Xenopus tropicalis: one gene and its partners. The protein of the gene in region 2 purifies or fractionates together with the protein of the main gene of each other region. This does not show direct contact. Links are inferred from orthologs where the notes say so. Each region holds a gene or a part of one and is shown on either strand. Other genes may lie near its edges.

What was found.
Region 1: the proteins of fgfr1op (region 2) and cep78 purify together in Homo sapiens (affinity purification with mass spectrometry; 3 studies listed by BioGRID and IntAct, with this or other methods). This does not show direct contact. The link is inferred for Xenopus tropicalis from reciprocal best matches to the Homo sapiens genes CEP43 and CEP78.
Region 3: the proteins of fgfr1op (region 2) and ppp2r1a purify together in Homo sapiens (affinity purification with mass spectrometry; 5 studies listed by BioGRID and IntAct, with this or other methods). This does not show direct contact. The link is inferred for Xenopus tropicalis from reciprocal best matches to the Homo sapiens genes CEP43 and PPP2R1A.

The regions. Positions count from the first base shown.
Region 1 is NC_030677.2:132,571,631-132,575,150, reverse strand, and holds part of cep78 (centrosomal protein of 78 kDa), read right to left. Parts: intron 1,389-3,520; coding exon 1,242-1,388; intron 474-1,241; coding exon 396-473; intron 1-395. UniProt on the Homo sapiens protein: Centriole wall protein that localizes to mature centrioles and regulates centriole and cilia biogenesis. Involved in centrosome duplication: required for efficient PLK4 centrosomal localization and PLK4-induced overduplication of centrioles.
Region 2 is NC_030681.2:56,955,816-56,959,335, reverse strand, and holds part of fgfr1op (FGFR1 oncogene partner), read left to right. Parts: intron 1-2,784; coding exon 2,785-2,922; intron 2,923-3,520. UniProt on the Homo sapiens protein: Required for anchoring microtubules to the centrosomes. Required for ciliation.
Region 3 is NC_030683.2:120,827,979-120,831,498, forward strand, and holds part of ppp2r1a (serine/threonine-protein phosphatase 2A 65 kDa regulatory subunit A alpha isoform), read right to left. Parts: intron 3,423-3,520; coding exon 3,275-3,422; intron 2,514-3,274; coding exon 2,358-2,513; intron 1,118-2,357; coding exon 1,003-1,117; intron 131-1,002; coding exon 60-130; intron 1-59. UniProt on the Homo sapiens protein: The PR65 subunit of protein phosphatase 2A serves as a scaffolding molecule to coordinate the assembly of the catalytic subunit and a variable regulatory B subunit.

The DNA.
Region 1 (3,520 bases), on a different chromosome or scaffold from region 2:
GGTCGCAAAATGTTCGTTTTCCAATCGGAATTTTTCCAATTCGGATTCGAATTCGTGTCTTAGTAAATCAGCCCCTAAATCTGCACTTAGGATACCTGAGAAAGGCAAGCCAAATTTTGTAACTTTTTTCCCTGGGCTGGTGCATTTTTTTTTTTTTTAATTTACTAGGCATTGGCCAGTAGATTAAGTATAGCAATTTGATTACCTGGAATCAATTATCAATTACTAGTGTTCATGCATACAGTATATTAGCGTCCGGTAAATTCATGCTATCGTGCCTTTAGGACTTCTAATACTTCTTTCAAAAAAGGTATTATTTCTTATGCATATTCATGGCTTCACTGCCCCAGACTTCCCTAGGGGAAGAACAAAATCTGTTTATTAGGTTACTGTACCTCCATTATCCGTTCATCAGCCCGTAATCTTGCTTTTCTTTCGTCATTTAAATTTTTTTGACATATCTGCAATTCAACCTGCCAATATTAAGTATGTAAGTTTGGCACCTTGGTCAGGACATTTCCTAGTCCTCTAGCTGTGCCGGCTCAGCAAAGGCACTGCCCCAGAAAGTAAATCATTAACACTAACATCAGATGTCTTTTAGGGATCCATTATATAGAGCAAAAAATAAATAAATCAAAAACAAATTATAAAACATGTGTGTCCCCTGTGACTATGGGCACAAAGACAATCAACCCAGTTTATTATTGTACTATATAATATTGATATACAAGGCACAGCATTTCTGTGGTGAATGTTCTTTACTGGCACACAGTGAGGTTGCAGTCACTAGGATCGGATCCTATGAATCCATTTCACTCTGCTTTAGCAGAAAAGTTTAATGCCAAGTTATAAATAATTATTTTCATCCATATAATTTCCCTGAAATTACCATTAAACAGTGTGGACAGGCCATTTTATAACTTGAGAGCTGAAGCCGTCAAATTGCGTGTCCTGGCACAGGTAAAATATTATATACAACTGCAGATAGTGCTTCTGACAGTTTGTTAAAAAGGAATAGTCTTTTCTATGCCTTCTGTGTAAAGAAGACAACATGAAAATAAAACTGCTTTTTAAAATGAAAAGTAAAAAATTTAACTTTTTAAATGTCATGCATTAACCAACATTTATGTACTCTATGAAAATAAATACATTCATACAGACTTATTTATAATCATGTAGCCTACCATAACATACATCATGAAAATACATTTATGTAACTGGCCTCATTAGCTGCTTGGTACCTGGAGACATTTGTAATTTTTTACACTCGTTTTTTCACCAGATCCAGGCACGGCATATTCTTGATCAAGGATACTCAAAATATTGTCAGATTTTTCACTTTCTGAAGAGGTTTCACTATCCATAATCACTTTCACTGCAGTATCTGCCTAAGTACAGAAGTTGAATGATTAAACACATTTAAATAGAAAAAAACAGAAATAACTGCATGTACATTAAACATAAAACATTACATTAAACATGTGAATTGGCATTTGCTACAAAAGGTTTAAATCAAGTTGAATTCTATATGGCTTTACGTTCAACACATCTAAAGGATAAAACCTATTATACAAAAAATACTGATGCCATGAAGAAAATATGGATTTTCCCAATTCACTGTTTAATCCTTTTTTTGTGTAGTCACCAAGGTGACCCTAGAAATGTATGGAGCAGGACACAGCTAACTTCCTATTAGGCCCAAACATGGTCAGTCAAGTAACAAGGGGTTTTCCCTTGATGACTAAAAAGAAGAAGGATTTAAATGGGAATAGATTCAAATTGTATTTTCTCTGTTATTCTGTGGAAAAATTGGAAAATCACCATATCTATTCACAACAGGTAGGAACACAAGCCATAATATTATTATCACGTATTTATAAAGCACCAACATATTCTGCAGTGGTCTACAATAAATGGGTATATGCAATGAACAAATCTATTGCTCTCTGAGGCTACAATTTTATTTTTATTATTACTTTTTATTCCTTATCTTTCTATTTAGTCCCTCTTCAATTCATATTCCATTCACACCACTGCCTGGTTGCTAAGGTAAGCAAGGCCCTAACAACCAGCTGCTAAAATTCTAAACTGGAGAGCTGCTAAATAAAAAGCAAAATAACTGAAAAACTACAAAAAAAATAAAAAATGAAAACCAATTGCAAATTGTCCCAAAATATCAATGTCTACATAATACTAAAAGTTAATTTCAAGTGAACAACTCCTTTAAACCCTAAAAGAGAGAAGCTTGCAGACTTTTAGAATAGCCAGGATCCCGATCTATTCCTTTGTGAGCCCAGACAGCTTTATTCACAAATATGGTCTATAAATGATTATTATTTTAATGTTATTTTTTTACTGGCACTTTAATTACTCACATATAAAAAATGCTTAAATAAGCAATTATTGTATCTTAAGAGGACAAAGTCAAAGAATGCTGAAATAAAATCAGGGTAAAGGTAAGTTTCTGCTGACAGGACATTTAAGTTTGGTAGCAGAAGCATAGCTTTTGTAAGTTTGTCTACGTAATGTCAGTATTTATTTGTCCTTTTAACGCACAGTGAAAATTATTTCAGTAAAAAGTATGCAGCTTTCCATTTGTTGCCATTTTTTTATGAACATTAGCAGCAACATGTATGTATGTGTGCAGTCCTGCACCACAACATTCTCACCCTCTCAGTCAGTACAATGTCACACTTTCATAGTGACCCATTCAAAAGAAAAGAATCTTATTAATCCAAAGCATCCTGAGTAAACTGTTTGCACCACACAGTTCAGTGTTATGGGAATTCTATAACATACAAGGTTAATGCCAAAAACACAAAGGAAAAACCTTGCAGGAGAATATCATAATAGTTTAAAATGGCAATACTTTTCACTTTAAGAATTGTCTCTACAGACCAGGACTACCCTCTAGTGGCATAAAACGAGTGATGACTTGATTTCATGTTAAGCTATTAAGATAATGCACCACCTAATTTCGCTTTGGTTATACAATTTAGCTCTATTCAACATTTATGAAAATCTAGAATTTGCCCATAATATAATATTGATTTGATTTTTTTCTATACTATAGATCACCTCTTCTGCTTTCATATATATCTGCAGACAACTCATGGATTGTCATGAATTTATTAAAAATTTATTAAACCTTGCCCACTTTGCTTTTTATAACACCAAATTCTTGATGTTCCTCAGATATTATCAAAGAGTTTGCATGTTCACCCTTTGTCTGCATTTGTTTCCTTCAGGTACTTTGGTTTCCTCCCACACTCCAAACACATACAGGCAGGTTAACTCCTGATAAGACTGACCATAGTGTGTGTGAATGTGACCTAGATTTTAAGAGTCACCTAGGCAAGTAATGTATAGGATGTATAGGATGAACGATCCCTATAAAGTGGAATGTGAAATATGATGGCAGTAGGTAATAACTTTAGGCACATGCTAAAAAATATTTTATTTTGCAATACCCAAAAAAACTTAACACAATATAAACTTTCTGAGCAGTTTTGCAATTTAA
Region 2 (3,520 bases):
CGTGATAAATGTTTTTCTAGGTAAACTAAAAGTTTCCCCTGGGAATATGCCCTTAAACTGAGACGGCCCCAAATGTTCAAAAACATCGGTCACTGAGTGCAAATAAAAGGCAAAATTCTGCTGGCATTTTAAAGCTTAAAAGTCCCAATGCCAATTGTACTTTTATCCAAAAAGTGTAGATTCTGTGATCCATGGTAATTTAAGGCATAATTGCATGATTAACTTAACATATTATGGATATAGTTATATAGATATGGGTTCTGTTTATAATAAATACACATACTATATATAAATCTTAAAATTCCCTGTTGAGTGCGGAGCTGTGTTTCTATTAATTTTGCTTCAAATGCCCAGGCAAGCTGAGGCACTTAGCACTCAACATGACTTTAAAGAATATATTTTGTTGGTTGCCAAGGTAGCCCAATGTTTCCGTTACTACCTCTGCTTTTATAAATAGTGTAGTGTGCTTATTTTGGTACAGCCTGTGTTGTATCATGGATAGTGCACAGACCTGATTACCAATAAGATCAATGGGCTTGTGCATAGCCTTAGTTAGAAGGAAGTTACACTGCATGCAGCTGTTGGGAGGATGCTTTGCATTCAGCACAGGGGAGGGCTGGACATTGCCACTGGTTTTGTGACATACGTAACAGCAAGGTGTTGCCACTCCCATTCAGCAATGACCTGAACTGGCTATCAGAGAAAAGGTCCTAACTGTGTGCAATATTTTTTATTCTATTTAGGAAAGTAAATGTGTTTATACAGTCATGGTCAAAATTGTTGGCACCCCAGAAATCTTTCCAGAAAATCAAGTATTTCTCACAGAAAAGTATTGCCGTAACACATGATTTGCTATACACATGTTTATTCCCTTTGTGTGTATTGGAACAGAACAAAAAAGGGAGGGAAAAAAGCAAATTGGACATAATGTCACACAAAACTCCAAAAATGGTCTGGGCAAAATTAGTGGCACCCTTAACTTAATATTTGGTTGCACACCCTTTGGAAAAAATAACTGAAATCAGTCGCTTCCTATAACCATCAATAAGCTTCTTACACCTCTCACCGGGAATTTTGGACCACTCTTCCTTTGCAAACTGCTCCAGGTCTCTCTTATTGGAAGGGCGCCATTTCCCAACAGCAATTTTAGATCTCTCCACAGATGTTCAATGGGATTTAGATCTGGACTCATTGCTGGCCACTTCAGAACTCTCCAGCGCTTTGTTGCCATGCATTTCTGGGTGCTTTATGACATATGTTTGGGGTCATTTTCCTGCTGGAAGACCAAAGATCTCGGACGCAAACCCAGCTTTCTGACACTGGGCTCTACAGTGCGACCCAAAATCCTTTGGTAATCCTCAGATTTCATGATGCCTTGCACACATTCAAGGCACCCAGTGCCAGAGGCAGCAAAACAACCCCAAAACATCATTGAACCTCCACCATATTTCACTGTAGGTACTGTGTTTTTCTCTTTGTAGGCCTCATTCCATTTTCGGGAAAACAGTAGAATGATGTGCTTTGTCCACAAGACGTTTTCCCAGAAGGATTGTGACTTACTCAAGTACATTTTGGCAAGCTGTAGTCTTGCTTTTTTATGTCTGTGTCAACAGTGGGGTCCTCCTGGGTCTTCTGCCATAGTGTTTCATTTCATTTAAATGTCGACAGATAGTTCGCTCTGACACTGATGCTCCCTGAGCCTGCAGGACAGCTTGAATTTCTTTGGAACTTGTTTGGGGCTGCTTATCCACCATCCGGACTATCCTGCCTTGCAACCTTTCATCAATTTTTCTCTTCCGTCCACGCCCAGGAAGATTAGCTACAGTGCCATGGATTGCAAACTTCTTGATAATGTTGCGCACTGTAGACAAAGGCAAATCTACATCTCTGGAGATGGACTTGTAACCTTGAGATTGTTGATATTTTTCCACAATTTTCGTTCTCAAGTCCTCAGACAGTTCTCTTCTCCTCTTTCTGTTGTCCATGCTTAGTGTGGCACGCACAGACACACAATGCAAAGACTAAGTGAACTTCTCTCCTTTTTATCTGCTTTCAGGGGTGATTTTTATATTGCCCACACCTGTTACTTGCCCCAGGAGAGTGTAAAGGAGTATCACATGTTTGAAACAATCTTGTTTATCCACAATTTTAAAGGGTGCCAATAATTTTGTCCAGCCCATTTTTGGAGTTTTGTGTGACATTATGTCCAATTTGCTTTTTTCCTCCCTTTTTTGTTCTGTACCAATACACACAAAGGGAATAAACATGTGTATAGCAAAACATGTGTTACTGCAATATAGAGCTGGGCGGTATGACCAAAAATTTATATCACGGTATTTTTCAAAATTATATCGGTATCACGGTATTTGACGGTATATAAATAAAAAATAAATAATAAATATTGGTGCCCCCCCCAACCACAACCCCCCCCAACCCCCCAGTTAATTTATCTATTTTTTTTGGCTCAACTAAGAATCGGCGTCTCTGGAGTTAACTAATTCAGGCAGTGCCTAGAAAATGCATAGACAATGTAGTTGTTGCCAGGCACACACACAACCCAGTGCAGACTTCTAACCCCCCCCCCCCCCCCAGTTACTCTGTGTCAAGTCCTGTCAGAAATTTCACATTGACCTAATACTCTACACACCAATGGAAAAGCCCCAAGGAATAACTGAATATGCAGGCAGCTATCATTTGTTTTTCTTATATATAAATTAAAATGTTATAGTAATCCTGAAGGGATCATCTTAAGGAGGGTGACTACTTCTACTTTGTATTTTTTAGGAAAATGGATATGACGATCGTAATCATTTAGCAAAGGAGCTTGGGATTGTTGAATCTGAAGGTGTGAAAAGTGGTCCACTGGCACTTGAGCTTGTCAGACGATGCCATCAAAAAGACAAGATTATAAGTGGGGGAGAAGTAAGTAACTTTTGCTAACAAAGTTTCTTAGTAAGCAAACAAGTTACTAATGGATGATTAAGTATATGGTGTTTGTTTTATCAACATTAACAAGGGTCCGGTCCTGATGCAATATACCCTTGACTACATAAAGCGTTTTGTTACTTTTGGCAGCCATTTTTGTTTTCATGATTTGCTCAAACGCTCATTCATCTAGTATAGTATCAGTGGATTGGAAGAAAGCCAATGCACTTCCAATATTTAAAAAGGAAAAATATTTTAGACCTGGCCTGTAAATGTATCTGCTTTGGAAAAGTTATACAGATATGGGGCCCTTTATCCAGAATGCTTGGGACCTGGGGTTTTCCGGATAAGGGGTCTTTTCATAATTCTCCTACCCTAAGGGGCACATTTACTAACCCACGAACGGGCCGAATGCGTCCGATTGCGTTTTTTTCGTAATGATCGGTATTTTGCGATTTTTTTCGGAAATTATTGCGACTTTTTCGTTACCAATACGATTTGCGCGAAAAAAGTCGCGATTTTTTCGTAGAGTTAAAACTTGCGCAAAACGTTGTGCCTTTTAAGTTTTAACGCTATGAAAAAAATCGCCAGATTT
Region 3 (3,520 bases), on a different chromosome or scaffold from region 2:
TGTGGTTTAATGAATGGGCCCCTAAATAAATATAGGAAGAGTGATAGAACAGAACATACCTTGACACAAGGCAGAATCTGTGTCATTATTACATTCTCGCGGCAGTCGGCAGACAGGTTCTCACAGAATTCTAAAATAGGGCATAAGCAGAAGATATAAGTAAAAAAATAAATGTCTTCCTCCATTTCAAGGTCTTGTCTTTGATTAAAAGATCAGTCCAAAAAATCCAGACCTGTGAAAGTTCTAGAGCACCATAGTGACAATGTGGGCTAATAACTGCAACAGATTCGTTTCTATGGATTCCCATGCTACTCTGATATATAATGCAATTTCCACAAGGCCATTCAGGCCAAATTTTTCATTGATTTTTTTTTCGTTCCTTATCAGATGGGACACACTCTAAAACTATAAGTGACCTCTGAGATAGTATTAGGAATGTGTCACAAATTATAGTTTATACTGAAGGAACAGGATTGGGAATTTAGAAAGATTGTAAGGACAACTAGTTTGACAGCAAGGAGCAAATTAGCTGCATGGGAGGTGCAGTCATGTTGTACAGGGAAACTCATTTGTACTCCAGGGATTCCATTTCCACTTTCCTTTTCAGTTATAAATAACAAAGCTGCTGAATGCCAACGCTAACTGCACAGTCAGTAACATTTGCCACGTGATTAGTGAGTCACATGAATGACATTCAGGATGTTCCTATTTTAACACTCGGTTACCACAATCCCCCATATATTTGCCAGTTTGAATACCTTTGATATAGCAAGTTGCAATAATACATATTACAACCAGGCCTGTATTTAGTTCAGGCAATGCCCTTAGCACTGGGCCCCCTGCCCATCCTGATCCATGAATGCACAGGACAGTCTATGTATATACATTGAAAGAGAGTGGATGGGGGGGGGTGTTTGTAGCATTTTTTTTTTCTATATAGGCTGCCCCCTAGGTTGACTATATATACACATATGGTCCTGACTAGAATACTTGATTTCTAACCTTTAACTTTATGGGAAGCAGCAGCTCGTACTTCGGCTTCACAGTCTTTCATCAGGTTTTGGAAAGCAGGAACCAAGTCTGTTTTGGTGATTTCTGGACCAACAGCTTTCTGAAGCTAAAAGACAAACAGAAATATTAGCACTGGAGGCACTATGAACTTATGAAGTTTGACAGACTTTATTATTATTATTATTATTAACATTTATTTATAAAGCGCCAACATATTCCGCAGCGCTGTACAATAAGTGGGTTCCATACATTGGACATACAGAGTAACATATAAAGCAATCAATAACCGATACAGGAGGTGAAGAGAGCCCTGCCCAAAAGAGCTTACAATCTACAAACTCACAAGATAGATCCACTTGACAAGGGACCTGATCCAAATACAGGGTAAAAACACATTCATTTAAAATACCTGTTTCTCAGGGAAATAAAAACACTTGTCCGAGACAACTTTAACAAAGGCGTTAGATACAATTCATATATTTCTGAAGATAAAACTGCAAGCTCACAGAATATTCCTTGGATGGAACAATCCATTTACAGCACATTTGCCATAGATGACGTTGGCCTAATTCTGGGTGTTGAATATTCTAAATTGGAAATGACAGACATCTGGGCAAAAATTGTAGTGTCTTTAATATATTTAGCTTTTCTAGGAAGAGGCTTCTAAATTAGTCCTACATGTATCCCACAGGGATACATTTTGGCAAAGTGCACTTGATTATACATATACATAAATCTGCCTTCTGTAAATCAATAGTTTTTGGGGCAGCTCAGAGGAAGAATACAAAGAACCTTTAAGAAAACATTTATAAGGGCAACTGGTACAGGTGTAGTTACCACAATGATGTGGCAGCTTGTAAGTATCACAATACATGCACTGCAGATTGAAAGGTTGGAGACCCCTGATTTAGATGAATGAGTGCCTGAACAAACCAAACCCAAATTCTAACTATTGTGAATATTTAAAAAAGCATCACAATGCCAGACCAAAGGTTGACAAATTTTTGTCCACAAATGTCACCCTCCATAATTTAGCCAATTTACGTATGTGAATTTTGATTCAGTTCGGGATTTAGCCATAGCTTTCGTGGCAGATTTAGGGCATCCCTAGGCAAGAGTTAAAGGTAGAGAAAAGCGTAAACTACTGTTCTCTGCTTTATGCAGTGGTAAATTTCACATTAGGATCCCAACAGCAGCCAGTCCACTGCCACTTCCTACTAAGTCTAGGCTCAAAACAGCTACAGTGAAACACCTAAAGTAGATCTAATTCTTTGTAAACATTAACATAAATTTAAGGATAAAAAACCCCAGCCAAATTCTTTTTGTAATTTTAATCAAGGTTTTACCTCTGTGAACTTGTCTGCCACCATGTATCTTACTCTCCAAGATTTATCTTCAGCTGCCTGGCGCAGTGTGGGCATAACCAGTGGTTCCAGCTCTTCTTGGGGTAGAAGCTGAGCAATGTTTACACAAGCCTCGACTGCCAACAAGCGCACTGAATCCTGGGAAAAGCCAGAATTACAAACAACAAAAAAAATCAGAAACAAGCATAAACAACGGTTTAAATATCGGAGTATAGTAGTACAGTATTGGTACTAAGTTAGAAAGTGTGTGTATGAAAGTATAATTTAAATTTGTAAGTAATTTGTATCATAAACTATGATTGAACATTTATAGTGACACCTTGTGGCAAAATAGGGTATCAACTTCTGGACTGAAAAGCACTTACAGTTCAATAATTCATTAACGATACCATTTGGTTCCAATTTACCATTATTAGGGGAAAGCACTTAAGTATGTAATATATGTGAAGTTTCACAGAAAGGGTCCCAGAAACTTTGGGCACAGATGCTGTACAATAGTACATAAATTACAATTTTCACACGAGGGTGCTAATCCATAATATTTTATAGACAGATATAGACATACATGCAGACACACATTTATTTAAATATATATTTCCATGGCTACAATCAATCAGTTAATAGATTAAAATAACCTTACAAAAGTAATGTACAGTATATGTAAACGATCACAAATAAATAAAATAAATAAATAATGCTTCTGCCCGTGTCTAAAGTTGCAAACTGTTTTCAGTCTTTAGATATTTTGAAGTCGATTGTTAGAACCTCACCTGCAATAAAAGCTTTCAGTTTGCTTAATGGCGGCATGTATATTATATATATATATATACACACATATACATGTTCTAATTCAGGACATTCTCGTAGAATATATGTGGCAAGACCTGCAATCAGTTTACCTGCTCATCAGATGCTAGGTTGGAAAACATGGGAATTATTTCACTCTTCACATTTTCCAACTCCAAAACTTTAGCAAACTCCCCCAACTTGGAAGCAGCGGCTCTTCTCACCATGGGAGTATCGTCTGAGCACAAGTTTCGGAAGTGCCTATAGAGAAAAAGAATGTGCGCATTTTTTATATAATGAAAATGTGCTGTTTTATTGCAACGTTTAATAAAACTGTTTTCATTAAAAGGACTGAAGAG